Linked DNA regions of Arabidopsis thaliana. The protein of the gene in region 1 purifies or fractionates together with the protein of each later gene. This does not show direct contact. Each region holds a gene or a part of one and is shown in the gene's direction. Other genes may lie near its edges.

Evidence for each region.
Region 2: the proteins of GAMMA-ADAPTIN 1 (region 1) and AT1G10730 purify together in Arabidopsis thaliana (affinity purification with western blotting; 2 studies listed by BioGRID, with this or other methods). This does not show direct contact.
Region 3: the proteins of GAMMA-ADAPTIN 1 (region 1) and HAP13 purify together in Arabidopsis thaliana (affinity purification with western blotting; 2 studies listed by BioGRID, with this or other methods). This does not show direct contact.

What each region holds. Positions count from the first base shown.
Region 1 is NC_003070.9:8,437,236-8,449,626, forward strand, and holds GAMMA-ADAPTIN 1 (gamma-adaptin 1), read left to right. Parts: upstream 1-3,843; 5' UTR 3,844-4,143; coding exon 4,144-4,175; intron 4,176-4,218; exon of another isoform or gene 4,219-4,532; coding exon 4,533-4,835; intron 4,836-5,010; coding exon 5,011-5,152; intron 5,153-5,250; coding exon 5,251-5,424; intron 5,425-5,688; coding exon 5,689-5,868; intron 5,869-6,392; coding exon 6,393-6,547; intron 6,548-6,781; coding exon 6,782-6,872; intron 6,873-6,975; coding exon 6,976-7,139; intron 7,140-7,272; coding exon 7,273-7,327; intron 7,328-7,479; coding exon 7,480-7,602; intron 7,603-7,687; coding exon 7,688-7,783; intron 7,784-7,909; coding exon 7,910-8,037; intron 8,038-8,283; coding exon 8,284-8,388; intron 8,389-8,488; coding exon 8,489-8,751; intron 8,752-8,911; coding exon 8,912-9,154; intron 9,155-9,243; coding exon 9,244-9,419; intron 9,420-9,540; coding exon 9,541-9,645; intron 9,646-9,821; coding exon 9,822-9,917; 3' UTR 9,918-10,446; downstream 10,447-12,391. Other genes in the region: AT1G23880 (NHL domain-containing protein), read left to right, coding at 3-173, 263-475, 587-675, 769-1,401; AT1G23890 (NHL domain-containing protein), read right to left, coding at 1,665-2,177, 2,263-2,360, 2,446-2,646, 2,778-2,942, 3,259-3,429, 3,514-3,568. UniProt on the Arabidopsis thaliana protein: Subunit of clathrin-associated adaptor protein complex 1 that plays a role in protein sorting at the trans-Golgi network and early endosomes (TGN/EE).
Region 2 is NC_003070.9:3,561,116-3,570,808, forward strand, and holds AT1G10730 (Clathrin adaptor complexes medium subunit family protein), read left to right. Parts: upstream 1-4,141; 5' UTR 4,142-4,347; coding exon 4,348-4,476; intron 4,477-4,616; coding exon 4,617-4,763; intron 4,764-4,869; coding exon 4,870-4,932; intron 4,933-5,042; coding exon 5,043-5,219; intron 5,220-5,293; coding exon 5,294-5,397; intron 5,398-5,489; coding exon 5,490-5,597; intron 5,598-5,721; coding exon 5,722-5,818; intron 5,819-5,912; coding exon 5,913-6,010; intron 6,011-6,110; coding exon 6,111-6,252; intron 6,253-6,327; coding exon 6,328-6,450; intron 6,451-6,565; coding exon 6,566-6,664; 3' UTR 6,665-6,991; downstream 6,992-9,693. Other genes in the region: AT1G10715 (EMBRYO SURROUNDING FACTOR-like protein), read left to right, coding at 34-94, 181-380; AT1G10717 (EMBRYO SURROUNDING FACTOR-like protein), read left to right, coding at 1,065-1,128, 1,231-1,439; AT1G10720 (BSD domain-containing protein), read left to right, coding at 1,849-2,464, 2,565-2,752, 2,846-3,331; AT1G10740 (alpha/beta-Hydrolases superfamily protein), read right to left, coding at 7,228-7,432, 7,501-7,632, 7,714-8,151, 8,335-8,438, 8,526-8,626, 8,722-8,825, 8,926-9,020, 9,109-9,351. UniProt on the Arabidopsis thaliana protein: Subunit of clathrin-associated adaptor protein complex 1 that plays a role in protein sorting at the trans-Golgi network and early endosomes (TGN/EE).
Region 3 is NC_003070.9:22,366,948-22,376,810, reverse strand, and holds HAP13 (Clathrin adaptor complexes medium subunit family protein), read left to right. Parts: upstream 1-4,587; 5' UTR 4,588-4,925; coding exon 4,926-5,054; intron 5,055-5,418; coding exon 5,419-5,565; intron 5,566-5,664; coding exon 5,665-5,727; intron 5,728-5,870; coding exon 5,871-6,047; intron 6,048-6,130; coding exon 6,131-6,234; intron 6,235-6,337; coding exon 6,338-6,445; intron 6,446-6,584; coding exon 6,585-6,681; intron 6,682-6,766; coding exon 6,767-6,864; intron 6,865-6,976; coding exon 6,977-7,118; intron 7,119-7,219; coding exon 7,220-7,342; intron 7,343-7,423; coding exon 7,424-7,522; 3' UTR 7,523-7,858; downstream 7,859-9,863. Other genes in the region: AT1G60783 (cyclin-dependent kinase inhibitor SMR2-like protein), read right to left, coding at 1,318-1,638; AT1G60770 (Tetratricopeptide repeat (TPR)-like superfamily protein), read left to right, coding at 8,163-8,390, 8,605-9,852. UniProt on the Arabidopsis thaliana protein: Subunit of clathrin-associated adaptor protein complex 1 that plays a role in protein sorting at the trans-Golgi network and early endosomes (TGN/EE).

The sequences.
Region 1 (12,391 bases):
AGATAGCAGACCCAGGCTAGTTACTGGCTCCCCTGAAGGATATCCGGGTCATGTGGACGGTAGATTAAGGGACGCGAGGTTGAACAATCCTAAGGGACTCACAGTTGATGATAGAGGAAATATCTATGTTGCAGATACTGTGAATAATGCTATCAGGAAGATCAGTGAAGCAGGTGATTTTTTCTGCGGTTTTATGGTTTTGCCTTTTGGACAAATGTTTGGTAAGTATCGGATTTAAGAAAGAATAAAAATGCAATGGCAGGAGTCACAACCATTGCTGGGGGGAAAATGGTTCGTGGGGGAGGTCATGTGGATGGTCCAAGTGAAGATGCAAAGTTTTCAAATGATTTTGATGTTGTTTATCTCGGGAGCAGTTGTTCCTTGCTAGTCATTGACCGAGGAAACCAAGCCATCAGAGAGATTCAACTCCATTTTGACGACTGTGCTGATCAGTATGGAAGTGGCTTTCCTCTGGGTAATATTTACATACCAAAGTTTTCCGTTTGGGTCCCCTCTTGCATTCTTCAGTCATCTCTATCTCAATTACTCTTTAATGTATCTCTGATTCAATGCTTTAATATTGCAGGGATTGCAGTTCTTGTAGCGGCAGTTTTCTTTGGCTATATGCTGGCCTTGTTGCAACGTAGACTCAGTTCTATCGTTTCATATCATACTGTGAGTGTACATTCGCATTGTAACATCATTCTCTTATGCTACCCTATAATTGAGTTATAACCAACATTTCTTCCTGTTGTGTATATGTTATAGGATCAAGAAGTGTTTGAAGCTGTGCCTGATCAAGATCCTATAAAACCGGTCAGACCACCGCTAATTCTAACTGGAGACGAGCAAGAAAAACAAGAAGAAAGCTTCCTTGGAACGTTGCAGATATTCATTTCAAATGCTTGGGTGTTTTCTGTGGAGCTGTTCAGTGGAATGTTTCCCGGTCTCAGAAAGAAGCAGACAGTCGGCTTGAACTTCAACCATCAAGAAACAAAGCATTCTGCTTTTAGCACAACTTCATGGCCAATTCAAGAAAGCTTTGTAATACACAACAAAGATGAACCACCTCCCGTCGAGTCCAGGAACGCCACTCCTGGAAAAATTTATCCTTTCATGTCCAAAGATGCAACAGAGAAAATGCAACAGCTGCGCCAAAGCCGTGCCTTGTACAGAAGCTTGGACGCCGAATTCCTCCAGGAGCAGCAACAAGAGAAGCATCAGCAGTATCACCATAGGCATCACTCAACAATCCCATACACTCTTTATGAGCAGAGCAGCGAGAAGACTAATGAGATTGTGTTTGGGCCAGGCCAGGAGCAAGACCAGATGAATACTCATCAGAATATCCACCACAGAGCTCACCAATTTGTGAGTTACCCATATGGATACTATTCATAGACATGAGAAGTTGCTTAATATGATAGTAGTAGTAGAGATTGGGAATTCAGGTATAGTTTTTTAAAATTTGTTGAGAAGGCACAATAGGGATTTGGGTATTTAGATCTCTCTTGTAAGAAAAGTACCAAAGATTAATCATTCTTCCTTGATATAAAGAAAAAAAGATGAGCACTTCAATAAATATTCAAAGATTTTTCAACTCAACCAAACTTTACATTTACAAAAGACACATACTCTCTGATTCATGTGCTTTTAACTGAAACCTACTCAGTAGATGAAGAACCATGAATTACAGTATCTTCTTCAGCCATCTTTGAAAATTCTTCAACATGAACCTTTATAATGTCATCTATGGTTGCATGAGGAAGAGTCTCTTCATTCCTGCAATCTTTGTCATTGTTAGGTTCTTGTTCATCATCAAAGCTTATTAGGTCAATAAGATCATCAGAGGGTTTCAGTGAAAGGGGCGGCTTTGGGTTGCCGCAACCTGGACTCTCGGGATCAGACACAGAGACTGTTTTGTCTAAAATAGCTACATTATTGGGTTGACACATGAAGAAAAGGCTAGATACCATCGAACAAATTAAACTACTTAGGGCGGAATACATGAGGGAAAGGTGAGACACGATCATCATAACTAGTCTACTTAATACTGAATAAACGGTTGATTCAGCAACTCGGTTTCTAATGTAGGAGAAGAAGGTCAGAACTTGTTCCCCCAATTTGGTTAGGAGAAGCTTCCATGTCATGATGAACGAGAGGTGGTTCACTTCTTCCTGTCTATAACGATTTGGTTTAAGAGATTTGATATGTTGATTATACACTAGTATGTAATATGAGGATAGATTAAAAAAAACTTACATGACGGATGACGTAAGGGCGAACAGCAAATCCAATGGCTACCCCGAGAATGCAGGAAAGGACAATCCCTATTGACCAAAGAGAGTATGTCCCCAAATCTGAAACAGTGAAAGAAGAATCGTTGAAGTTTCCAAAGGCATGGTTAGTCAAATCCACAAAAGATTACTTATAGAAAAGACATACTAGAATGAGAGTTTTCGAGGCAATCCTCCTCCTTAAGATTTATCTGGCGAATCATTTCATTTCCATGATCAGAAACAAGCAAACAACATCTTTGAGGAACAAAAGTTATCTCGAAATCGCTAGAGAAAGTAGCATTCTGTGCAGGTCCATCTCTGTGTCCAAATGCCTTTGAGATCCCTCCAGCAATGGTGGTTACAGAACCTACAAAGTCCAGTAAATAAAACATGCATAATCAAAATAAACTAAGTGGCTCTTTCAACAAACTAAGATTAGACAACAACAACAACTAGCATTTATACAAAAGGAATACAAGAAATGGATTAAACAAACACCTGAAGAGCTGATCTTCCGTATAGCTTTATTACTCTTATCAGCAACATAAACATTCCCTTTAGCATCCACAGCAAAACCACGGGGTTTGCTGAACCGGCTGTTACCAGCTTTACCATCTACATGACCCGAACTCCCATCCCCAGCAAACCGGTTTATCACACTATCTGCACAACCACACACACATACTCAAAGTGAGCTCAAACTTCAATTGAAAGAAAGATAAACAAAATTTTCACTTATAGTAAAGTTTAGAACTTTTATTTGCAGGTTGATCGTTTCACACACATACACACACATATTAGTATTGTGGTCCAATTTGAGATTACGGAGAAAGAAAAAATGAAGGTCAAGACTTGCAATCAAAATCAACAAGCTCTAAACATTTACTTATGCATCCATGAATTTACAACTCATATACAAACACAATTATAATGATCCGATTAATAGATGAGACAAAAGAGTGGTTTTGTGGGTGTTTACCAACGGACAAAGGAAAGGAAGTAGTGTAAAATGTACTGCCGGAAGAATCAAGGACGATCAGATTAGAAGATCCTGGTAAAGCATGAATCGTGTATGGATTCAGACCAGACTTATGGCCATCGACCACCGTTGTGACTTCGTACCCTTCTTCTAAAACTATCTTACCACTCACTGTAACAAAATCATGAGGAAAATTAAAAATTCGAATTTTGGGTTGGGAAATTCAACTGAATTAACAGATTTTTGAAAATATACCCAGATTGAAAACGACGAACAAGAAGAGAGACACGGACGAAAATCCCCAAGCCATGTCAAAATCGAGAGGAGAAAGCGACTGTTCTGTGTAACTTGTGTTGTGTTACTTATTTTTGCTGCTTAGCATCTTTAAAGGTTTTAAAAAGATACTAGGGCCTGAGCGATACTATGATGTGTTCAAGTGTAGGGGAGAATTTGTGTAACAACCAATGAAAGAGCGCGTATCATCGACCCTCTCAAATTTGACTAATAAAAACGGCCCAAGTAGGGCCCATTTATGTGTTTAACTATAAAGAAACGGCCCAGTCTATGTTTTTGTTTTGAGAGGATTGCTGGTCGAAACGTTACCGTTTAGGTGGAAATGGAAGTCATGTTTATACAACGCATTTAATTTGGCAATTATGGTTTACGAAGACTGAGAAGAAAAAAACGAGCATCGTCCATCGAGATCCAAATCCTCAGTTTCATTTTCATCTCTCTCTCTCGTATTGATCAGCTACTCGAAACTCCGGTAACGGATTTTCACAATCCCGGCGGCGAAACTCTTCTTCCCGGCTAAGTTTTCATTTTCTTCAGATTCCTCGTAAAGTTGCCGGTGGACCAAGGTCCAACTCTTGAACACCCCAAATCATGAATCCCTTTTCTTCTGGTACTCGTTTAAGGTAAATTGATTCTCTTCTTTCCTTTTTATCGTTTCTGTTTCAGGTTTCTTAGTCGTTGATCAGCTTACAAATGAAATTTGAATATAACATGATGTAATTGAGCTCGTTTTCATTTGAGGATTGAATTTTGTTGATTGGCCTGTTTCGAAGATGAATTTGGTATTGGTGTTTCTGATTCCATTTAGAATTTTGATTTTAGTCTAAGAACATGATCACACTAAGGATTTTTGGTAATCCTTTTGCTTAATTTAATTGAATATTGGATTGGTCATGTTGCTGTTGGGGTTTAATAGTGGAATCAGATCGGATTATTGTATATGGTTCTGAAGTTATAGTGGACATATGAGTATGATTCAGGGACATGATCCGTGCCATAAGAGCATGCAAAACAGCTGCGGAGGAGCGAGCTGTTGTAAGAAAGGAGTGTGCCGATATTCGAGCATTGATTAATGAAGATGACCCGCATGATCGGCACCGGAACCTTGCGAAACTCATGTTTATACACATGCTGGGTTATCCCACACACTTTGGGCAGATGGAGTGCTTGAAGCTAATTGCATCTCCTGGATTTCCAGAGAAGAGGATTGGATATCTAGGGCTAATGTTGCTTCTTGATGAGAGACAAGAAGTGTTGATGCTTGTCACAAATTCGTTAAAACAGTATCCTTACTAATTTCTAGTATTAAATCTTGATACCTTGGCCTTTGAATGGATTCTTCTTCTATGTTAAAAAATACTAGAGAACACTTGATTTTTGATTGCATTGCTGTTATGGGAATTAAGGAGAAAAATATTTAAATAGATTTGTTCCTGTTTAACCTTAAGTCACGTGCAGAGATCTTAATCACTCGAACCAGTATGTTGTAGGACTTGCTCTCTGTGCTTTAGGGAATATTTGTTCAGCAGAAATGGCCCGTGATCTTGCGCCAGAAGTAGAAAGATTAATCCAGTTTCGTGACCCTAATATCCGAAAGAAGGTGAAGTGTTTTCTAATTCATATACAGGGTCTCCTGGAGTTTAGTCGCTTTTTTTTTTTCCTTCATTGCCTTTACCATTTATGTTGTATTATATGCAGGCGGCGCTTTGCTCTACTAGAATAATAAGGAAAGTTCCAGATCTAGCAGAAAACTTCGTAAATGCTGCTGCTTCCTTGCTTAAAGAAAAGCATCATGGGGTTCTTATAACAGGAGTTCAACTTTGTTATGAATTATGCACGATTAATGATGAAGCCCTAGAGTACTTCAGAACGGTAAGTCTATAAATATTATACAGAACACTCTACTTATGCATACAGGAGCATCGACGTAATTTAATTGAATATGCGTACATATGATACTATATTACCTGTATGATGCTTTTGTGTACTATTTTTCTCTTGCAATAAAGTTTGATATCTGTGGTATTCACTTATAAATAGATTACTCTGCTGAAATGAGGCAGACAATCAGGTTGTTATATTGTTTTATCAGACCGTCAGTTTTGACAAACCCTTGTCTTTGTTTTGTCTCTGCAGAAATGCACAGAGGGACTGATAAAAACTTTGAGGGATATTACTAATAGCGCATATCAGCCTGAGTATGATGTTGCAGGGATCACAGACCCTTTTCTCCACATACGGTTGCTCAGGCTCTTGCGTGTTTTAGGCCAGGGTGATGCTGATGCTAGTGATTTGATGACAGATATACTTGCACAGGTTAGTCATAGTTTAGCAAGTGATTCTGGATATGGTTGACCATCTTCACATTTGCGATGTAATTCCTTTGTTAAACATCAACGGTTTATGGTTTTTGTTCCAGTTACCTTACATATATTTTTTCGGAAAAATGTTGTAAGATAGCTATGCTCTCTCATGTGCTGGAACTGATTCTGTTAAATATAGCATAATGGAGAAAGAATTTCATTTCGTTGATAGGGTTCATGGGCTATTATTCTCTTTGGTAGATAGAAGACTTATTGGTTACTGAGTTTTTGCCGTACTTGAATTCTCCCTCTTTTGATACCGGTCTTTGTTGTCATAGTAAGTGTTGATTTGTGGACGGACATATAAATCTGTAGGCTGCGCCAATCCTTTTCTATCTCACCATGATGAATGCATCCTGCGTCTGTTACATGCTTTGTTTTGGAAATCTTTTGAGTTCAAAGTCAGGGATCTACTGTCGGATACTTTGTTATCCTGGTTCTTTGATATTTATTCTCGTTGGTTTCATGCTATTGTAGGTGGCAACAAAAACTGAATCAAACAAAAACGCAGGGAATGCGGTACTCTATGAGTGTGTTGAAACAATCATGGCCATTGAAGACACCAATAGCTTGCGTGTGCTTGCTATCAATATCTTGGGAAGATTCTTATCTAACCGCGACAATAACATCAGGTTCAACCCCCTACACCTCAATTTTATTTGATAATAGTATGGTATTATATATGTTTGTAATGGAACTAGCTTACTTGTATTTTTCTTCTGTCTATCATCTTTCTTTGGATGTGCTTAACTCTATGAAGCACACAATGCTCTTCTGACCAACCAGCGTTGCCTTTTCTAATCTTGATTTCGTTTCTCTCAAAAACGCTGCATTCCCTTATGAAATTCATACTTTCGTTCTCTCAGATATGTTGCATTAAACATGCTGATGAAAGCTATCACTTTCGATGATCAAGCAGTGCAAAGGCACAGAGTTACAATTTTGGAATGTGTGAAGGTATTAGTATTACCAGGAAAATATTTTATACAATGTTAACTGCTAAGTATATCTTAGAGAAATAAAAAATGCTAATTTGGTTTCTGCTTCCATAACAATATAGGACCCAGATGCTTCTATCCGGAAAAGAGCTCTTGAGCTTGTCACTCTTTTGGTGAATGAAAACAATGTCACACAACTGACAAAGGAGCTAATTGATTATTTGGAAATCAGCGACGAAGATTTTAAGGAAGATCTTAGTGCAAAAATTTGTTTTATCGTTGAAAAGTAAGTATTCTATTTAAGAAATAGAATGACTACTTACTCTGAGAAAGTTGGGGGTCAGGATGATTGGAAAGTTACTGTGAATGTCTAGTTGATTGAAGTTTTTGTTGACTTTTTAAATTTTTTGATAATGTAGGTTTTCTCCAGAAAAACTATGGTACATTGATCAGATGCTCAAGGTTCTGTGTGAGGTATGGATTCAAACGCGAGAATATGCTCTGTAACGTGTTACCAGTTAATTGCACTCTTTGAAATCGTTTGAGAGTTTATATCTGCTTAAGCTAATTTCAAATGCATTGTTTGTATCTGTCATAACCTATTGTCATCTATTCCATGTTAGTAGGCTGGAAAGTTTGTGAAAGATGATGTGTGGCATGCACTTATTGTTGTCATAAGCAATGCATCAGAGCTTCATGGATATACAGTTAGGGCCTTGTACAAATCAGTCTTGACTTATTCGGAACAGGTAGCTATTTTCTAATGTTAGATTGTGCTCAGTCCTCAATCAGTTGTAACCCTTTCTAATATGGTTTCGTTGAGATGATAACCAGGAGACCCTTGTCCGAGTGGCGGTATGGTGCATTGGGGAATATGGTGATCTGTTGGTTAACAATGTGGGGATGCTTGGTATTGAAGATCCAATAACGGTGAGCATCACAATGGCAATCTTAATTCATTATTTGCTCCATGATAAATATGCAGATGCTTTTGCTTCTTGGGATTTCATTTTTGCTTTGAAAAATATGCAACGAGTATGTGACTGCCTTGAGCAGGTAACGGAATCTGATGCAGTGGACGTTATCGAGGATGCCATTACTCGCCATAACTCAGATTCGACTACAAAAGCAATGGCATTGGTTGCTCTACTGAAGTTGTCATCCCGCTTTCCTTCTATTTCAGAGTATGTCTGACCTCGTTGTGCTATCTGTTTTTATCTCAACTCGTTCATCTGATATCTGCACTTATCCCTTTTCAACTCTACACAAGATGCATATGCGCACTAGTATATGAATAATAAATTTTGGTCTGTCTACAAGAAACTGTAGCGCGTTGCCTTCTGAAAAAAGATTAGAAATATATTATACATGTACATCCTGTCCTCAACTCTCTATTGATAATTAAAAAGTTTTCTAAAATTCAATGACAGGAGAATTAAAGACATAATTGTGAAGCAGAAAGGAAGCCTTCTCCTTGAAATGCAGCAGAGAGCTATTGAATACAATTCTATAGTTGACAGGCATAAAAATATCAGGTGGAATCCCTTGTGCCTCTCTTCCTCATCTATCTTCTAGTGTAAGTTTTTCATATTCTCTCTCCCTCAAAGCTCATGATAGAGGTATGTGTGCATACAGGTCTTCTCTGGTTGACAGAATGCCGGTACTGGATGAGGCTACTTTCAATGTGAGGAGGGCCGGCTCTTTTCCTGCATCAGTTTCAACCATGGCCAAGCCTTCAGTTAGCCTTCAAAATGGTGTTGAGAAACTTCCTGTCGCTCCTCTTGTGGACTTGCTAGACCTAGATTCTGACGATATCATGGCTGCACCTAGTCCATCTGGTACAGATTTCCTTCAGGATCTTCTCGGTGTAGACTTAGGTTCATCGTCAGCACAATATGGTTAGTTCTTTGGCGGTTCTACAGCTCTTGCGTTCATATTATGGCGTGCTCATCTGCTATGTGTCTCTGAATGAACAAGTTTTTAAAAAAATCATTTTCCTCATTGCCTTGCAAAAGGATAACTCATGTTTGGTCTTCCATTTTTTATCCAATGATTCAGGTGCAACCCAGGCTCCAAAAGCTGGCACAGATCTGTTGCTGGATATTCTATCAATTGGAACACCTTCTCCTGCACAAAACAGCACATCATCTATTGGTTTATTATCAATAGCTGACGTTAACAATAATCCCTCAATTGCGCTAGACACACTTTCTTCACCAGCTCCACCTCACGTAGCAACAACTTCGTCCACCGGTATGTTTGATTTGCTAGATGGTCTTTCTCCAAGCCCATCGAAGGAAGGTAGGAAAAAGTCTTAACCTGAAAAAGATCTGTATAATCATTGAAACTCTTTTACAAAGGTCAATAACAAGTTTTCCTCCTTATTGCAGCCACCAATGGTCCAGCTTATGCACCTATTGTTGCATACGAGAGCAGCTCCTTGAAGATTGAGTTCACCTTCTCAAAGACACCAGGGAATCTGCAAACGACAAATGTCCAGGCTACTTTTACTAATTTATCTCCCAATACTTTCACAGATTTTATATTCCAGGCTGCTGTTCCAAAGGTAATTACATCTATCTTCTTTTTTTGCTTTTTTCCCCTTTATTCATCTTTCCCAATTGATAAAGCAGTAAATAGATTTCAATTTTTTCTTTAACCTTCTCTTTCTTTTGTGTAACTTCCAGTTCCTCCAGCTGCACTTGGATCCAGCTAGCAGTAACACACTCCTGGCAAGCGGTAGTGGTGCCATCACGCAGAATCTAAGAGTCACTAACAGCCAGCAGGGGAAGGTATGGCACATTCTCTGTTCGTCTTTCTATCTAACTTTATGTCTTCAACATTCCGTGCTCAGCATTGATGAATAGCACTTGATGATCCACAACATAATCTATGCTCAAATAAAGATAGGCTGAGCCTGTGGATTCAGTGACTTAACATAACACTAAGGGTTTAATGTTTATTGCAGAAATCTCTTGTGATGCGCATGAGGATTGGGTACAAACTGAACGGAAAAGATGTATTAGAGGAAGGACAAGTCAGCAACTTCCCTCGCGGGTTGTGAAACTCATCGATCAGCCATTGTATTTTCAGCATAAGGACTTGAGTGTTTCTTTCTATCAAACCCAACTAAAAAAGAAAGACAAGTCTTGCCCAAGCCGTTGATGCAGCTTTCTCCTTCCAATTTTTTCATCCGTTTTATGAAACAAGTAGTACTTTGGCCTTTGCTTGTGATTTGAGGTTCTTGGGTTTTCTTTTTGTACAAAAGTTTTGATGTTTGGAATCGGAAAGTGGTCAAGAAGTAGAATTTGTCTCTCATGTCTCTGAGACTATAAAAAAGATGTGATTTATGACCCATAACCATAACTCATGATGTATCTACTACAGTTACAATTTTCGTCTTGCAAAGAAGGAGTATTGGATTTTGGATCATGTCGTAGTTTGCATGTGTTATTGGATTAAGTCTTTGGTTGATCAACCAACACACATCTCTTATTTGAAGCGAATTCTAATTTTCTGATAGCTAGAAACTGTTAAGTACAGATATAGAGACATTCGAACATGTGTTATTTATTAATGTTACCAAATGGTGGATGTTCATTTGATTTTATTGGATATGATTTTGAAGACAACAGATCAATAAATCATCATTCTAAACATAATCTATTTTCTTAAAAACCCACCACAGAAAATTATATATTTCGACTTCACTTTTCCATATTTTCATTCTAAACATATATTTGTCCCAAAAATAAAAGATAGAGATAAACCATAAACAGAAATTCATTTATTATTTTAAATGATTATGTGGCTTGATGCGAAATTCATAAAATCAAAGTGGTTTTGACTAATAGTACCATGATATAAATTTCACTTTTCCATATTTTCATTCTAAACATATATTTGTCCCAAAAATAAAAGATAAAGATAAACCATAAACAGAAATTCATTTATTATTTTAAATGATTATGTGGCTTGATGCGAAATTCATAAAATCAAAGTGGTTTTGACTAATAGTACCATGATATAAATATCTGCCCAGTCATTTTTGTATTAAGACAAAACAAAAGAATGACTTTTGTAAATTTCAAACTTTTCCAGAAATATGTATTTTTTTTTTTAACTTTGTTATACTTTTACCAACTCTTACTAATTTAAAATTTTGTGGTAGTTTTGGAAATGCGTACGTGTTTATAGTTTTGAATTTGAAGGATACAAATTGGGAGTTAAGGGAATTTCTACAAAAAAATATTAATGTTAAACTGAATAGCTACTTTGATTACACATGATTAGTTGCCGAATAAGTTTTAGATAATAGGCTAATAGCTATTACTAAAATATCATTGTCTCTTCATAAAAAAAATGTATTATAATATTCTAGTAACATGACGTTGCTTGTACAAGCCTTTCCATTAAACAAGCCTTAGCTTGCAAATATCTCTACTTGACTTTCTCGAGTTGTAATGTAATGAAGAGTTGCATATCACAGTCACACATATCTAAGTTAATTACCCATTTGACAAAACGTGGAATAGTTGAACCCTTTTATTACAATCGTCAATACAACGATAATATTAAAGTTTTATTTAATGCATATATATATATGGAAAGCTTCATGGGTAAATACATCGTAAACGTTGGGGAAAGAAATAAAACACATCGACGTAAATGACATTCATTATTCAGTGAAAATCTCTAGTTAAATACACCATCCAGTGCCATTCTCTAATTAGTTTTATAATTTCTTTTAAAAGTATATGTTCTAGTGGTTTTGATAATAATCTTTAACAAAAAAAAAAAAAAAAGTGGTTTTGATAATAATAATCGTCTCAACTAAGATGTTTATATAGAAAGGGAGTGTTCTGAAATTACATTAATCTCCTTAATTATTTTACCTAACCCCACTCATTTAACCTTTTCACCATATTGAATAGTATTTCTAAACTTAAACAAATATTTCAGCAATTTTTTTTTTTGCGTCACCCATTTAATTATCTAATGTGATACACAGGAGGGTAAATAACTTATGTAGGCCAAATTGATATAATCTACCTAATGTATTAATTCACTCCAACTAAGCTAGCGAAGTATATTACCTCGTGAAACATAGCAGTTAATTAGGGTTTAATCAAGAAATATAAATTGATCGAAATGTGATGAATTTAAAATGATTTTAACTAATGATCATTATGAAATAAAATTAATATAGTTACTCAACTTAATTACACAAACTGAGCAATCTATAATTGCAATTATTTTTAGCAACCCGAAATATTGATCTGACGACGATTTTTGTTTTGTTTTTAGTATAACACAGCTAGCGATTAATTGGATTAGAGAAAATCATACAACCAAAAAAATTAATTAATAATTATTTAAGAAATAAGAATCCTTATTCCTTAACTTGACCGAAGCATGGCATGTTACGTAACTGATTCTCTTTATATCCTTTTTGAGAAAAAGGTATAATGAAATAAATAAAAAGGTTTTGAATTCGTAACTTGGTGCGGTGAATCGTTCATGATCCAACATCTGTCT
Region 2 (9,693 bases), 4.9 Mb from region 1:
ACTCATAACAAAGTCCTTTGAGACAGCCAAAACATGAAATCGCATATAGCTATAATCTGCATAATCATGCTCTCCTTCTTCTCCATGCATGAATGTTAGTATAAATTTTTCTCACAGATATATCAAATGTCTCTTTCTTTTCTTTCCATAGTAATTAAAATTTTGAATTATGTGTTTCAGATCGATGTGTAGGTAGCACGATAGGGAGATCGAGCAAAATCTATATACCATTGTGTTTTCACAACAATTGCATCCACCCATTTAAAGATGATTGTTGGTGTTGTCTCGCAGCTGGAACTAAAAAAGATTGGTGTTGGCTAGAAAAAGATTTTCCCGACGCCAAAGAGCTTTGTATGAAAACATGTACAAGAAAGATTTGAGGGGAAATCTATTGGAGTATGAATTTTAATTTGTTTCGGTGGGGTTTTTAGATTAGATGGGATTTTAATAAATTTCAAAGATGTTCTAATTATTTTAAAGGTGTTTTGAGATTAGAAAATAAAATTTTCGTCTACTAGTTAACTTTATTTTCGTCCATAAAAGCAATTAGCCGAGAGATCTTTGATTTCCCTTTCGCACACAAGATTTTAATACTAAAATCGAGATCCTTCTATTACAATATTTTAAATTTTGTATTTCAATACTTCAGTTTGTATTCTGTATAGTTATCTAGACGAGTTTAAGAAGGTGATAAGATTCTACAATATGTTTTGACAGCTCTAAGTTATAAATAAGATTATAACCTTATTTTGGGTTTGACCTGATAAATAATAGTTTGATCATTCCATAATAAGTAAACACACTCAAAATAAAATTTAATACATTAACAAAAAATAGATTCAATAACAATTATGAATTACTTAACAGAGACGTTGAATATGGATAAAAATCCTGAAATAAAAGGTTATATCTTGTTTTTTTCCTTGAAAGAAACTTAAGGTGTATCCTAATTTAATTTTCTCTACTTGTTTATATATTCTAAAAGTTTTTGTATTTACATAATTCCACAACAACTCGAGAAGACAAATAAAACTCACAACACAATTGTTTGAGACACTCAAACCATGAAATCATCACATACAACTTTAATCTGTATAATCATGCTCTCCCTCTTTGCTCTGCATGAATGTACGTACATAATTTTGTTTCTTCTCGTATCAATTACCTTTTTTCTCTTTTTCTTTCCATTGTTAAATTTGGTTTTGTGTGTATGTTCAAATCAATGTGTAGGTGAGAAGATGGAGGTGAAAGAGATAGGGAGATCGAGCAAAATCATTTTACCAGCGTGTATGCATGAGACTTGCTCCGGTGGTTTCTCACTGAAAAATGATTGTTGGTGCTGCTTGCGACTTAAAACTAAACAAGCTCGTTGTTGGAAAGAAAAAGAATTTCCCAACGCTAAGGAGCTTTGTTTCGCCAATTGTCCCCCTCTTGAATAATTTTTATGGATTCTGTCATTTCGAAGCAGATTTTTTTAAAAAACGTTGATAAATCTAAATATGTATGTTGCATATTCGATTTAAGGTTTTTTATGACATTTATTTCGATTTTAGTGGATTCCTTTACATTAATGTTACGATATTCTTATTTTCTATAATTTAAATTCACTGAATATCAACCAATTACATTTCTAAATAAAAATATATATTTTATAGGTGTTAGATAATCCAATTACAGTTGCCACCAAAAAATATGGAATTTAAAACTAAATTACAAGTATATGATATTTAATTTGGATGGGGTTTGTTAGGAAAAGATAAAATAATTTGCATAGTTTTAGTTTTTGAGTCAACCAAATGGATCAATAGATTAATTGAGAAAAAGAAAAGAAAAAAGAAATCAATCATAATGTTTTCGAATTTTTTGGAAAGCTTATACGATGGAATCGGAGACGATGACGCCGCCGACGACGACGAAGACAACAACAACGACGAGAAAACCCCGAAAGCCTCAACGGAAAGACACGATTTCTCGAGAAACGCCGTTCGTTTGTCACCGGAAGAGGAGGCTCAAGCGCGTGGGGTTAAAGATGATTTGACGGAACTTGGTCATACCCTCACGCGTCAATTTCGTGGTGTGGCTAACTTTCTCGCTCCGTTACCTGATGGATCTTCTTCTTCTTCCTCCGATCTATCGAACCATCCCAGGTTTAACCAATCTCGGTCTTCAGATCCTGGATTGAATCAATCGCGTTCTTCAGATCGGGACGAATCGTGTGTTGGAAGTGATACGCCGGAGACTGGAATTAGGTTTAGGAGCTGGGATTTAGAAGAAAAATTGGCAGAAGGCAATGATCCGGAGGATGAGGAAGAAGAAGAAGAGGAAACAGATGAAGAAGAAGAAGAAGAAGAAGAGATCGCTGCGGTTGCTCTTACAGACGAAGTGCTAGCATTTGCGAGGAACATAGCAATGCATCCAGAAACTTGGTTGGATTTTCCTCTTGATCCTGACGAAGATCTTGATGGTAACGTATACATTGAGTCAAGTCTTTCGCTATTAGTCTTCATTGATTTGACTTATAGGCATATCAAAAGTTTGATTATTTCAACTTTTATCTAATGTAGATTTGGAAATGAGTGATGCTCAAAGAGGTCATGCTTTAGCTATTGAGCGTCTTGCTCCGAGGTTAGCTGCATTGAGAATAGAGCTTTGTCCATGTCATATGAGTGTTGGTTACTTCTGGAAAGTCTATTTTGTTCTTCTTCTTTCAAGGCTCAATAAACACGATGCTCATCTTTTGTCTTCTCCACAGGTTAAAAAAACCTGAATCTCAATCTCTTCTTGAGTCAAAATGATTCTTTGTTGTTGCTGTTGTTTATTCAACAAAATCCTTTTGCTTTTGCAGGTGATGGAAGCTAGAGCATTGTGGATGAAAGAGCTTCAGAATCAGACACATTCTTCAAAAGAAAGTAGAGATATGATTCTTGAGGAAGAAGATATTACACCATCAACTTCTAATTACTACAACCATGCTCCTCCTGAGTTTCTTTCTCCAAGAATATATGCTTTTGAACCTCCTTCGATTATGTATCGCGATTTTGAACACGGGTTTGAAAACGCTCAGTTCATCGATAAAGCTGTTATTGAGGAAAAACCAATCCAGAAGAACGACAAAAATAGTGCAAGCCTTAGCCAAACATCTAAAGATGTTGTTGATGATGATGATGATGATTGGCCAGAAGAAGAAGATTCTGCTAATTCTTGGGCTCCAATGTTTACAGTGAATGAGGATGATGTTTCTTTCAGTGATCTTGAAGGAGACGACGATATAAGTAGCTTAGCACTCAAGTCTAAGATTACATCAAAGGGCACAGACCAAAAAGGAACATGAAACATCATCTGGCTTGTTGCTTTGCCCTGCCTCACGAGATCGAATCAATAGAATTGAACATAAGTACTGTGTGCTGAGTCAAATCGTGGAAGTCTTTTGGGTGAGTTTGATTGTTTTGTGGATTTATGATGTTTGCTCTCAAAGAGAAGGAAGAAAGAAAGAAAAAGGTTTTGATTGAAACATGTACAGAAGATTTACTTTGACACTGCAATTTCATTGTAATGTTCTCTCTCGCCAAATGTAATGAAATATTGAAAAGCACTATTTCATTCGCGTGGAACTTAAAAGAAATTGATAGAGAATGGCGCAAGTGAATTCAAGTGTAACAAACTGTTAGAATCATTATTGGATTGGAAAATCATATGGGATTTTATTGCTTATGTTGAGGATTTGTATGTATGAAAATGGGAACAACCAGGAGGAGCTATCATCAATTAACAAAATAACTCCTATGACTTAACTAAAAAACAAATCTATGTTGAAATGTATAACATTTGTCAAAATGCTAGTACTTTGTTAATAATTAAGGGGTGTTATTGGTTTGTGATTTATATAGAGTTTTAGTGATTTAAAAATATTATATAGAATCTGATGTTATTCAATTCAAATTTTCATTTTTTTTTTTTAATTTGGTATTATTAGTTTAAGATTTATAAAAATTAATCTAAAATCTTCGTAAGTAAGATTGCTTCCCTAATACAGAGAAAGAAAGAAAAACCAAGTAAGATTGGTAATACGATGTCGTTTCGCAGAATAATGCAAAGCTGAACCCAATTTAATAAGCTGCACTTTTCTTTCTTTCTCGAGTCTCCCGTCGTTTTTTATGTCAGAACCAATTCGTCAGGTCGTGAATAAGTGACTTTATCGACGAACCACCACTCAGCTGCAGCAAATGATCGTTTAGCTCCGGCGAAGCGTAAAATTCTTCAGATCTCTCTGGAATTAATAATCCGTCTGTTTGATCGATCTGATTCGGCAAATCCTTGAGAAAACAAGGAGGGAAGAAGAAGAAGAACATGGCAGGGGCGGCCTCAGCGCTGTTTCTGCTCGATATCAAAGGTCGTGTTCTCGTGTGGCGCGATTACCGTGGCGATGTCACCGCTGCTCAAGCTGAGCGTTTCTTCACCAAACTCATCGAGACAGAGGTGAAGTTTTAACATTTGGAACTAATGAACAAGCTTGATCAGTGCTTAAAAGGATTCAATTTGATCAGAATCGTTATACTTATGACTAAATGACTAGTGTTTTCTCTGCGGGTTTGCTTACTTTCGTCTAATATGTTCAGGGTGATTCACAGTCAAATGATCCGGTTGCTTATGATAATGGCGTGACCTACATGTTTGTACAGCATAGTAACATTTACCTCATGATAGCGTCCAGACAGAACTGTAATGCTGCCAGTCTTCTCTTCTTCTTGCATCGTGTAGTCGATGTAAGCATCCCTAGTGATTCAGTTTTTTGCATTTCCATCTGTTTTCTGAATTTGAAGAAAAAAGAACGGCACTGTTTCATATGTTACAGTCTTATACTGATCGTAGGTCTTCAAGCATTACTTCGAGGAGTTAGAGGAAGAATCTTTGAGAGATAACTTTGTGGTAGTGGTAAGATAATGCTTCTCACATCTCTTCTTATAACTGTTTTCCCTCTTGCATGAGGTGGATATGTGTGGGCGAAAGTTATTTCTAAAAACATTTACTTATGTTACTGGCAGTATGAGTTACTTGACGAGATGATGGACTTTGGTTACCCTCAGTTTACTGAGGCAAGAATCCTTAGTGAATTCATCAAGACTGATGCATATAGAATGGAAGTTACACAGAGACCTCCAATGGCTGTCACTAATTCTGTCTCATGGAGGAGTGAGGGGTTAAAGTTTAAGAAAAACGAAGTAGGTGCTCAACATTTTACTTTTCAATTGTTTTAGGTTTTCTAATGTTTGCAGACTGATGTTTTGTTTTCCAGGTTTTCTTGGATGTGATAGAGAGTGTAAATATCCTTGTGAACAGTAATGGGCAAATTGTCAGGTCTGATGTCGTTGGAGCTTTGAAGATGCGAACATACTTGAGGTGCGTTCTCTAGTGTCCCTAGTTAACCAACGCATTTAAAATCAAAAGTCCCTCCTCTTTGACTCTCTGCTTCTTTATCCATGTTATTACAGTGGAATGCCAGAGTGTAAGCTAGGCTTGAATGACAGAATATTGTTGGAGGCACAGGGACGAGCAATAAAAGGAAAAGCCATTGATTTGGAGGACATCAAATTTCATCAGTACGTTAATCTCTTGCAACTTTAAACATTCTTTGACAGTCACTCTATCGAGGCCAATTTTTTTACTAACTCGAAAAATTATTGAATACTTGAGTTTTTACACGTCTCTTTCTTCAAAATGTAGGTGTGTTCGATTAGCCCGTTTTGAGAACGACAGGACAATATCATTCATACCACCTGATGGATCTTTTGATCTTATGACGTATAGACTCAGTACTCAGGTTTTAGAATGTGTAATATTGCAGAAATGGTTTTGTCCCCTTCTTAAACGAATTATATCATGATATATCTTATTTTCGCATAATACTTGTTCAGGTAAAGCCTCTTATATGGGTGGAAGCGCATATAGAGAGGCATTCCAGAAGTCGTGTTGAGATGCTAGTAAAAGCTAGAAGCCAATTCAAGGACAGAAGGTAAGTAACAAATGTTACTTAACACGTTTAACCATTACCTGAAATACTGAAATACTGGAATCCTTTAACGCGTTTTGATAAGAGTTCCTTTTTTCTGCAGCTATGCAACAAGTGTTGAGATTGAGTTACCTGTACCAACTGATGCGTATAACCCCGATGTAAGAACATCTCTCGGGTCGGCCGCATATGCTCCTGAGAAAGATGCACTGGTCTGGAAGATACAATATTTCTATGGGAACAAGGTAAGTTCTTATAGTTTAATGTAACACTTGACCATGTAAAGTCGAATGCTTACATTAAGTTTTGAAACAATGTAGGAGCATACATTGAAAGCAGATTTCCATCTTCCAAGTATAGCCGCAGAGGAAGCAACGCCTGAGCGAAAAGCTCCAATCCGTGTCAAATTTGAGATCCCAAAATTCATAGTTTCAGGAATACAGGTTGGTATTACTCACAATGATACGTTATTATCATATAGATCACATTCTTTTTATATTACTGCATTGAAATCTGAAGGCAAACAAACCTGATGTGTGTTAATTATGGGTATTGCAGGTTCGATACCTGAAGATCATTGAGAAGAGTGGGTACCAGGCACATCCATGGGTGAGATATATAACCATGGCTGGTGAGTACGAACTGAGACTCATGTAAAATGAGATCGTTTTTTTGTTTTTACTATTATTTAAGCCATTGTCAACGACACAAAGCAGAGGAAGATCAATGAGAAAAGGAAAAAGATTGAAATATATTAGCTGATAGAATTTGCGGTGAAGGTTGTTTTAGAAGCCATTTTCTTGTGAATTGTTTCATGGCGTTCTCTTTTTTTTTTTTTTTTTTCTGTAAAACTATATACGACAGTTATATATATATTGGGTTACAATTGTTAAACATCGAGTTTTATTTGGGGTTCTTTCAGTTCGTTTACCGATGGAAAATGCATGCAGTCTGGGTGACTACACCAATAATGGTTTTCCTTAAACGTCCGCTAATTTTGTAAGAGTTCACTATATAAATAACTTTGATGAGGCAGTAGAGCAACATGACGAACTAACAAATATTATAATTTTCAAAATGGAAGATATATATTTTACAGTACAACAAATCGAGAGGAGAACAAGAAGAACAATGAATAATCTGTATTAGTAGTAAATAGCCTAAACAAAAACTTAAGCCCTCAACGTAACAACCCTAAAACATTTTTTTTTTGCATGTGATCAATGTACAAAGTTGTTTATTCTGGGTGATGATGATGAACGAGGAGAAGAAGGAGATTGATTGGGGAGAGTCTGAGGAATCTTTCTAAAAACATGTTTCCTGCAACGTTGGAAGATGCTGTCGTATATCAGATCAAACTGAACACCAGCTCTCTCTCTGTTCACTATGAACATTATGTGATCTGCTTCCACTATCTTATAATACCTGCAACAACAAGGTATTCAGATTTTCTCAATCCATCAACGTCATTAGGTCATATATGATTCACTTACCAGATCCCGGGTTGTAATGTTTGACATTCCGAATCGCTCCTTATGAACCGGCTCGGATGCTCAACAGGTAGCCTCGGATGTGTCATTGATATTGTGTTCAATGCCCCGTCGTTCTCTTGCCAGTCCTCATCCCTTCATTCAAACATGTTTTCTTAGACCAATGCAGCAAGGGCTTCAAAAATCAATGTTAAATTTTTGAGTGTTTTTGAGTACCTGTAGCCTTTATAAGGAGGAGAGACATCTTGTGGGAATTTCCATTGGCTCATCTGAAAGACGCGGAGGAAGAGCATCGGGTGGATTCCAAGAACACCTGAAGGGATTGTCATACCCATGACTCTGCGGGTGCGTTTAGTCGCGTAGCTGAAGTAGTAAGTGTTTGGGAACGTCTGGAGATTGGAGTTAATACTTGTTGAGCCTTGGATTGTGAGATCAGGTAAGATCCAATCGCCAGAAGCAAAAGGACCTGCGTTTCCCATTAGGCAATCAACGAGACCTCTCACACCGGTCTTCTTCCAAGAAATGTTGAAGTGATCGAACCCGAAATTGTAATAAGTCTTTAGCCATGAAATGTCCAACCAATCGTACATTATCACGCCTATACGACACAGCTGCAACAAACATATCGGTTTCATGCTCACTCCATCATCTGTCCTGTAACAGCAACAATAAGAATCAACAATTAGGATAAAAGATCTTGGTTTTCTAATACAGGAACATACAATTGCTTCAAAGATCAAACCTTATTTCAAAATGAAGAAACAGGAACATTCCAATCAATTGTAAAGATCCATGTAAATACCGAAAAGAATTGAAAATGTCAGAATGAAAACTAACCGCATGCCATCTAAGTAGGTCCTGGTAGTTCCATTGAATGCCCCGGATAACGATGTCACACTCAGAACCCAATTCTCATTCGTTTCTTCAAACCCTTCAAATGCCTAAACATCATGGTTTCGCATCATTCATCAAACATAGCTTTTAAACCAGAAGATATGCTTCCATTAAAAGAAGGATTCGACACAAACCTGATCTGCAAGCATTTGCTGCAATACACGCACAACTTGCGCACCCGCTGAATGCCCCACAAAATGAATAGGATGATCCTCATCCCATTCAGGGTATTGCCCTAAAACACATACCAAAATCAGACTTGCATTCAACATGAAACATTTGGGGTATATTAGTAGTCTCTTCCAATGAGCATTCATATCAAAATCTAACCTTGTTCGTATCTTCTTCCAAACCGAGAATGTCCACAAGCCTCGCTATGCTCTTCGCCAAAATCAACTACCCCTCCTTTCAAATAATAGAACAATTCCCTTGCCCTGGAAACCAATGTTATCATCACCACAATGCACACATGGTATATCAAGATCTAGATCAAAACAACAAAATCCTAGGAGGTGCAAAAAATGAATCCAATACCTGTCATAGATGCTTGTTAAGGAACCCAAATCAGGAACAAGAACCCTCTCATCTTTCTTCTCAGCACCGCCAAAGTAAGATAAGCCTCCTAATCTCTGCTCAATCAAAGCAATAAGATCAAACCTCAAAACCACAATCAAATAATCAAAAGAACCAAATTTGAGGGGTTTGTTTTTGCATTACCCCTTTGCCAAATCCAAAGATGCCATGAACCAATACAATAGGAGGCAAACCCTCAACATTGGTTTGATTTTGACCGGTTTCTCCGAAAGCGACATTGGACTTAAACAAGTAATCATTCAACGTCTGAGAGATATCTCCGGCAACGGCGGAGCTAAATATATAAAACCCATAAAGCAAATGCACAATAGAGCTCACGAAGAGCTCCGCGAGTTGGAGAGAAGTCATCATCCACAACTTAATCATCTTCTTCTTCTACTTCTTCCCCCAAAAATCAAAAATCGGAGATTTAATAAAAATGAAAAGCAAAAAATCGAGGTAAAGGAATCTCCTTTATCCTAAAAAATCAAAAACTCCCCGGAAGAGGGGAGAGAAATAGAGAAGAGAGCCTTCTTTCAAAAGAACATAAAGAAGATGCTCCTTTGACGAAAACCCAGAAAGGAAGAAAATTCGAAAACTTTGAATTTCCCCGAGAAAATAAAGGAAAATGCGTCGTCTCTCTCTGTCTCTTTTATCATCCAACAAAAAACTTTGTTATCCACTTGTATCTGCCCACCTCTCACCAAAACTAGAAAACAAAATGAGTTT
Region 3 (9,863 bases), about 14 Mb from region 1:
AGTTTGTAGTATTTTTTCCTTATTGCCTTAATTCATTGAGAAATTCCCACAAACTTTTAAGTTTTTTGGACAAAAATAGCATTAAAAAGTTTTTTAGACAAAAATAGCATTCAAATAATTATTTGAGAAATTCCTAAAAGTAACACTAAAACAAGTTTTATGGACAATAATAATACCACTTTTATATAAAATCTATTCAACCAAAATAAATTAGAAATAAATTTAAAATATTATATTTGGGTTCTCTATTTCCAATTTAGAGTATATATTTCAACTATTTAAAAGAAATTTTGATTCATTTTAATATTAGTTTATGCTATTATATTTGGGTTTCCTATTTCCAATTTAGGGTTTATATTTTCACCATTTAAAAGAGACTTTTCATTTTAAAATTAGTTTGTAGTATTATATTTGGTTTTTTTTATTTCCAATTTAAGGAATATATTTCCACTATTTAAAAGTTTTATGATTCAATTTAATATTAGATTAGTGTTTGCTCTCATTTTTATTTGGGGGGGGGGGGAGATTGATACAAATGGTAATAAAAAAAACATTATTATTTAATTAGTTTATAGAGGATTTAAATTTTATATGTTTTTAGTTTTGGAAATTTCAAAAGAATGCGCCATTTTTGGAATAATAAAGTTTTTTAGTGTCATTTGTGTCAGTCCCCCTATATATTAATCATGAGTTTTTGTTAAATATAAATTGGCGATAGTAAAATTTCTGTGTTATTAATAGATATATATACTGGACTAGGTTCTCCAACTTGTATATAGTCGATGAGAGATTATCAAACTACTCTATTTTGACCTATGGTGCAATGATTCGATGATTTCGATCATGATGGAACTAGTTATGTCAAAATCTTCATAGTTGAGTCTTCTACTAACAAAACTTCACTGGTAGACAAACATTCGGAGTAAAATTGAATCATGATGACAGAATCATGAAGACAGAAGACTAAAGTAAACAAAGTTTCTTTTAACCATCTTACAGTTTTCAACGATTTAGATATTATCTTGGAACAGGGACGAGTACTTACAATTTGTTGGAAAAAATAGAATAATAGCTTATGGTAAAATCAAAAGAAAATAAAAAATAAGAAACAAAAACTAAAAGATAGATACTTAGTAATTGTATCTTTTTTTGACAACCATTTTAATGTTAAGACACTTCAGAATAAAGAAGCTAAAGTAAGGAAGAACTCATTTAGAAATTTAAGAAACTATTTTTTTGAAGTAAACCAAAACAGGTTAGAGAGAGTAGAGATTATATATAAGTGATCTCTATATATAATTAATCAAAAATTCAAAATCAAGTAGTTCTGTATATGAAGACGGTCTCGAGATCTGGTGGCGAAAAGAACTCTCTAGGGCCGTAGCTAACCTTCAATGTCAGTTTCCGTTTCTTAGGCGCCGGAGGACACGGAATTACCGTCGGTATTCTAACGGAATCCGCTGTTGGAGTCGTTGGACAGAGATCTTCGTCTTCCGTGTTGGATACGGCAGAGGAAGAGAGGCTAATCGGCTTCACCGTAGAATGTAAGGAGATTCCGGTGATGACGCATTTCTTCCCTTCGGTAGTTTCGCTAAATTTTCTGTCAAACTGGTGGTAAGTCTTGCCGGAAAATCCCATAAGTTATCGTATGAAGTTAAGAGAGAAACAAGAATTTTTTTTGATGTAAATGAAGGAAATGGAGAATGAAAGAGTAAAAGATTAGGTTGTTGTTAAAGTAAGACTTGTTTGGAACGAGAGAGAATGTGAAGAGAATGAAACATGTGATTCAGAGAAGGGGATTGGTCTTATAGTCAACAGTGACTTCAAGACAATCGATCGTTCGATGTCGATTCAGTTCAGTTATTTTTTCCACGAATTTTTTTTTTCGAAAATTCGTATCTTAGTATTTATTTCCTTGGTTACATTAAAAGAACGTAACGAAGAGATAGTGACATTGAGTGTACATTGTATCTTTTATTAAATGTGAGAGAATATCCTTTTTTGTTTCTTTTCTCAAGCATAAAGAATGTAATCATGGTATTTAAAGCATATGTTTAATGTGAAAGAAATACAGTATTATGTACCCTAAATGGAACAACTTATTTTGATATACGTTCTTAAGTTATTTTTTGATACATAATTTAGTGGTGATGCCAATAGTTTTTGTTTTAGTCATACAAACTGAAAGGTGCTATAGTTTTTAAAGGGTGGTGCAAAAGATATCGATCGTAGTCAACTAAAAAGTGCCCTAACTAATGATTACGATAATCCGTTTTATATTGGTCGAAGTTAGGTGATTAAAATATGGTTTCTCTACAAGTATTTTGTTTGGACACTGCAAATAAAACCTTCATGCACATAAATTCTGGAACCATCTTCATTTTTTTCATAATTAATCTCTATCATATATAGTAGTATAGACCCCGAAGTAACTTAAATACCAATTATGTATTATAAATACGGATTGATAACATTTCATATCGAAACATTTCATACATTTTATATCTGTAATGTTACAACCAGTCTAAAGCCAAGGATTCTAGAAACTAGAAACAAATTTTACTAAAATTAATTGAGGGAAAACTCAAGAATGTGTGTGTGATCATTGAAGAAATGAAGAATGTGTGTTAGAGTGAGTGAATATTCAAAAGACTCAAATAGGTTTTTAATGAACAATAGGGAACCCGAGGAAACGCGTGACTCTAAGATATATGAATTTATTTTGCACTTATTACTTTTGATTAATTTTTATATTCTAACCCTTTTTTATATACTATTTTTTTCAGTGCAAGTAATGAATGAAGTAACGAGATGAGAGTCTAGTTTCAAAGTTTTGAATCTTTTTGGTCAATGTCGTCTCTATTTGTTGACCATATTATACGTTTGACTTTAACCCCATTTTTCTTTAATCTCATTCTTCTTCTTTGCTTCAATGGTTGACGAATTCTTACCGTAGAAGTTGCATCTAAATATACCAAAGATTAATACTGCGAAAATATGATAAAGAAGATTTTTTTTTTTTGTACTCTCTAGAAATTTGTAAACGATATTATTAGTGTTTGATTAAAGACTCCAATTTTTAACATAATGTCTATATCCACATAATGAATTTGTGTCTCTACTATATGTAGTGTTCCCGTCATATATGCATTTTTGCGATAGTCAATCGGATCTTTGTATTGCGGTTAATTGATCTGGTCTTTCTTGAGCGTACAAAATAAATAGAATTGTACGTATTATTAGAGATGGTTACATTTGGTTTACATTATTAGTTAAAGTTAACCAATAATGTAAACCAATAAAGTTAACCAATAATGTAAACCAAATGTAACTATCTCTAATACGTATGTTGACTATGATGTACTTCAAGACAAGTTCATCATCACTTAACGTAACTAACACTATATTAGTTAAGTTCAAGACTTATTGCCCATGATTCATTTGTAAACTATGAAGTAACATATCTCTGATTTTTTCCTCTTATGTTTGATAAATTAGTCATTATAATTAGTGTCTTGCCAAAAAGTACACTTCTATCTTATTAGCATTCTACATTACAAACTATTAATTTCACTACGTATAGCGGTATAGGGAGAAGATCAATAAGGCGATCACAATATTAGTTAAGTTCCGAGTCTTGCATTACCATTGTCCTATGAATCACAGAACAAGAGGACGCATATATATATAGTATTTATAAAAGACTAAGATAGTCACAGAACAAGAGGACGCATATATAATTGACAAATACTCAAAACATGTGAAAAGATAAGGGCTATTACGTCTTCATTAAGATCCCATAATCTTTATGATGAGAACTTAAGAGCCAAACTAGCTATGTAACAAAATATCAAGTTTGAAAGTAATAAACTGCTTGAATAAGCTTCAAGTTCACTACATGGTTTAGAAAGGTTTAAAATCTATTACTTTCAAACGCTTTTATTGTGTACCAATCAATCCAACAAAGTATGCAATCGTACTAATCAATCCAACAAAGTATACACTCACACCGGTAACATCAAAAATTCAAAAATTCAAAATTTCATGTTACCAATCAATCCAACAAAATATACAATCCCTGAGACCGAGTTATAATTTGTTGGAATGATTGGTACCAGTGAAATTGTGTTGTCGTGTGAACATCAACACATAGGAGGTAATATACGTAAATATGCTAGCAATCAAGCTAAGTATACAAAACACTTCATGTTGCAGTGTTCTATTGAAATTTTATATATCGAACTAGAATACTATCATGGAGAATGATCAAATGTTGCATATCTTCATATCCACGAAAAATGAGTACACAAACATTCGATCATACCCCATGACAGTTTTCTAGTTTATACTTGATAGTCCTCACGATTTCATGGTGGTGACACTACACAAACCCTAGATTCCCCTAAAGTTTTTGTGAAAAACGCATATGTTCGATTTTAGGTTTTACTTCTATCCTTGATTCATTACAAACCTATTTTTATACTAATTCGTCGTTAACCTAATAATTTTAACCTACGAAACCCAACCTATATGGGCCTGACTTTATGTAATGATCCAATGGGCCTTTCTTCTTCAATGATGACTTTCTTCATTGACTCTCCTTCTACTTTCGATGGTATTAAATTTGACGGAAAAAGTAAAACGATACCGTCTGGGTGAAAGGCAGAGCTCTTTGCTTCTGAATATTATTATTTTCTTAAATTCTTCCGTTTTTTTTTTTAATCCAACCACAAGGATCGATAACGAAATCATCAGATCGCCAGAAAAAAAAAAAAAATTGCGAAATGGAGAATCTGAGCTGCAGATCTGCGTCAATCTCCATCTAGATGTTGTTGCTACTTCTTCCTCTATAGAACCATAATTTCATCAGATCTCGCTGATTAATCATCCCCATTTGGATCTGATCGAAACTCTTAGGGAAGAACATGGCAGGAGCTGCCTCCGCGCTGTTTCTGCTTGATATCAAGGGACGCGTTCTCGTCTGGCGTGATTATCGTGGCGATGTCTCCGCTGCTCAAGCCGAGCGATTCTTCACTAAGCTCATCGAGAAAGAGGTTGTTCTGATCTTCCTCTTATCGCTAATTGGTCTTTGTTTATTGCTTGGTTACTGTAGAATTTTCAGAGAAACATAGAGTTAGCGAACGAACTTGTAGATTTGTGTTTGAAAGATTCGTCAATTGGAATTGAAACATTTCGAAGATAATGGATTCGTGTCCATTTTCATCTGCACTGGAAATGAATTTTGAAGATAATGGATTCGTATCAGTCTTTGTGATCTGATGCCGCTGAAATTTTTTGGAAGTAATGAACAAGTTTGATCATTGGTTAAATGTTTTGGATTAGAATTTGATTTGAATCTGTACTTTTGAAGCATTCTGGTTTAAATCAGAGTAATCATCGTTTTGTTTAATTGTTCAGGGTGATTCACAGTCAAATGATCCAGTTGCTTACGATAATGGGGTGACTTATATGTTTGTACAACATAGTAATGTATACTTGATGATAGCATCCAGGCAGAATTGTAATGCTGCCAGTCTTCTCTTCTTTCTTCACCGCGTTGTCGATGTAAGTATGGCTGGTCAATTCTTTAGTTTTTCTCTTAAGGTTCCATCTTTTTCCTGGATATTTGATGTAATGGCAATGGTATCTGTTATCTGGTTATAGGTTTTCAAGCATTACTTCGAGGAGTTAGAAGAGGAATCATTGAGGGATAACTTTGTGGTAGTGGTATGTTAAGCTTCTGTCATCGCTCTTTTAGTACTATTTCGCAATATATTTTTCTATTACTTGGGCAATCAAAAAGATCCTTAAAATTTTGGAAAAGTATTTGTCATTGTTAGATGCTGAAATTGATTTTTTGGTGCTGGCAGTATGAGCTACTTGACGAGATGATGGACTTTGGTTACCCTCAGTATACCGAAGCAAGAATTCTCAGTGAATTCATCAAGACTGATGCATATAGAATGGAAGTTACACAGAGACCTCCAATGGCTGTGACGAATGCTGTCTCCTGGAGGAGTGAGGGAATACAGTACAAGAAGAATGAAGTGAGTGCCATTGTTTTCGCAAGATAGGAATATGTTTCTGATGTTTCGGTTTGCAAATAATGACAACCTGCTTCTTTTTCCAGGTTTTCTTGGATGTTATTGAGAATGTAAATATTCTTGTCAACAGTAATGGGCAAATTGTCAGGTCTGATGTTGTTGGAGCGCTGAAGATGCGAACTTACTTGACGTATGTCAACACATCAAATTTACGATATAGTTCCTAATCAGCCAAAGCATGTTAAATCACGTCCCTTTTTGACTATTTTGCTCTTTGATCCATTCTATTGCAGTGGAATGCCAGAGTGTAAGTTAGGACTGAATGATAGAGTATTGCTGGAAGCGCAGGGACGAGCAACTAAGGGAAAAGCCATTGATTTGGAGGACATCAAATTTCATCAGTACGTCTTTAAGTTTTTATTATATTGAAACTTGGAAAGTCTTCACTGATCTTAACCCTTCTATTTTCTTTTTGTTCAAAAAGATTATATACTTGAGTTTTATGTATTCTCTTCTTCAACAACCATTTATTTAATGCAGGTGTGTTCGATTGGCCCGTTTTGAAAACGATAGGACGATATCTTTCATACCACCTGATGGGGCTTTTGATCTGATGACATATAGACTCAGCACTCAGGTTTGACATGTGGGATATAGCATCTACTGGAATTGTTCCACGTCTTCAACAAGTAAATATCATGATTTGTTTCTTTTATGTTCAGGTAAAGCCACTTATATGGGTGGAAGCACAAATAGAAAGTCATTCAAGAAGTCGTGTTGAGATGCTCATAAAAGCTAGAAGTCAGTTCAAGGAACGAAGGTAAATATATTCTATGGTATTTGTGCCACTTTCCTTTTCTGTCTTACTGTCATGCAAAGATCCTGATTGATCAGATTCTTTAAACCTTTGATCACGAACATTCTTTTTGTAGCACCGCAACGAACGTTGAGATTGAGTTGCCTGTACCAACCGATGCATCTAACCCCACCGTTAGGACATCTCTAGGGTCTGCCTCTTATGCTCCTGAAAAAGATGCGTTAGTCTGGAAAATCAAATCTTTCCCGGGGAACAAGGTATAACACTAACAAGGTTCAATAAACTCTTAAATTCAGTTGAAACAGTCAGCAATGTAGACTATGTAGTATCAATGCTAACCTTCAGAAAACCAATATAGGAGTACATGTTAAGGGCAGAGTTCCATCTTCCAAGTATCACTGCAGAGGAAGCAACTCCTGAGCGAAAGGCTCCTATCCGTGTCAAATTTGAGATCCCTTATTTCACTGTTTCAGGGATTCAGGTAAGCTTGTGCTTAATAATAAATGGTTACTGTCTCTTCCACAATGTCATATATATAATATATATGTTCTTTGGTGTGTAGGTTCGGTACCTAAAGATTATTGAGAAGAGTGGGTACCAAGCACTTCCATGGGTGAGATACATAACCATGGCTGGTGAGTACGAACTAAGACTCGTGTAATGCACATTTAGTTTCATCGTCTATGTCAATTGTGATTCCCACATCCCTCAAGGAATTGCCTGAATCAAAGAAGCAAAACGAAACAGGACAAAAGTAGAGGGAAAAGAAAACGTTTTGAAACATTTTAGCTGATCAAATTTTCCTTTAATTTGTTTTAGAAGCCATATTCTTGTGAATTTGTCTTTATGGTGATTCTATTTTATTTTACATGAGGCTCTCTGTAACCTTTCACGACATGGTTCATTATTTTCCTTTAGACTGCTACATTTCTGTCTATGTGTTCGTTCTGCGATCAAAATTGTTAAACGTTGAGGTTTTGGTTTTGTTTTTTGGGGCATTCGTCTATGTTTACATAGGTTTCTCTCGAGTTATGATCAAAATGAAACTACATAAACAAATTATGCTTCAATAGAGTGAGGTGAGAGAGCCTTACAATAGAGAGAACGTATATTTTGGTGTTTCTCATATTGTTTAACTGATATAGTATGGGCCGAAATGAAATAATCGTCAGGCCCATTAAAAAGCCCATAATCACCATACTTTCTCCTCCAATTCTGTTTCGAGCTTGGGAAGTGACAGTGAATTAGGGTTTTACTCAAAAAACCTTCTCGTTGTCGTTGTTTACTGCTCCGACGAGAAAATGGCGATGCGACATTTGAGCCGATCGAGAGACGTTACAAAGAGATCGACAAAGAAGTACATCGAAGAACCTCTGTACAATCGCCTCTTCAAAGATGGTGGTACAGAGGTCAAAGTTCGACAGCAGCTTAATCAGTTCCTCAAAGGCACTAAACACGTCTTCAAATGGGAGGTCGGCGATACGATCAAGAAACTCCGAAATCGCGGCCTCTATTACCCAGCTCTCAAGGTTTCATAAATCCAAATTGCATTTTCGATTCTCTAGGATTAGCTTCACAATAAGCATTTGCTTCAAATCTGTTGAATACATATAGAAATGTAGATTCTTAAGTGGTATTTTGATGCTCATTATGAACAATTTAGTAATTGTTGAATAATTTTTTCACTGTGTGATGATTGTGTCTTTAGATTTCATATTGTGGAGTTGTTTTTTTGGTTTGTAGCTATCTGAAGTTATGGAAGAGAGAGGTATGAACAAGACAGTGAGTGATCAAGCAATCCATCTTGATCTTGTTGCTAAAGCTCGTGAAATTACTGCTGGGGAGAATTATTTTGTTGATCTTCCGGAAACATCTAAGACGGAACTCACGTATGGGTCTCTTTTGAACTGTTACTGCAAGGAGTTGTTGACAGAGAAAGCGGAAGGTTTGCTGAATAAGATGAAAGAGCTCAACATTACTCCTAGTTCCATGTCTTATAACAGCCTCATGACTCTTTACACCAAGACAGGTGAGACTGAGAAAGTTCCGGCGATGATTCAAGAATTGAAGGCGGAGAATGTGATGCCGGATTCGTACACTTATAATGTCTGGATGAGGGCTTTGGCTGCTACTAATGATATTTCTGGTGTTGAGAGAGTCATTGAAGAGATGAATAGAGATGGTAGAGTTGCTCCGGATTGGACTACGTATAGCAATATGGCATCGATATATGTTGATGCTGGACTGTCTCAGAAAGCTGAGAAGGCTCTTCAGGAACTGGAGATGAAAAACACGCAACGGGATTTTACGGCATATCAGTTTCTTATTACTTTGTATGGACGTCTGGGGAAGCTGACTGAAGTTTACAGAATTTGGCGTTCGTTGAGGCTGGCTATTCCGAAAACCTCAAATGTAGCTTATCTAAACATGATACAAGTGCTGGTCAAGTTGAATGATTTACCTGGTGCAGAGACATTGTTCAAGGAATGGCAAGCTAACTGTTCTACTTATGACATCAGGATTGTGAATGTGTTGATTGGAGCTTATGCTCAAGAGGGTCTAATCCAGAAAGCAAATGAGCTCAAGGAGAAAGCTCCCAGAAGAGGTGGAAAGCTCAATGCTAAAACATGGGAGATCTTCATGGATTACTATGTAAAGAGCGGTGATATGGCTCGAGCACTCGAATGCATGTCAAAGGCAGTCTCCATCGGCAAAGGAGATGGTGGCAAGTGGCTACCGTCACCTGAAACAGTCAGAGCTTTGATGAGCTATTTCGAGCAAAAGAAAGATGTTAATGGAGCTGAGAATTTGTTGGAGATTTTAAAGAATGGAACAGACAACATAGGCGCAGAAATATTTGAACCATTGATAAGAACATATGCAGCAGCGGGAAAGAGTCACCCTGCTATGCGACGGCGCCTGAAGATGGAAAACGTGGAGGTTAATGAAGCGACAAAGAAGCTACTCGATGAAGTATCTCAGGATGTGTGAGGTCTGTTCCA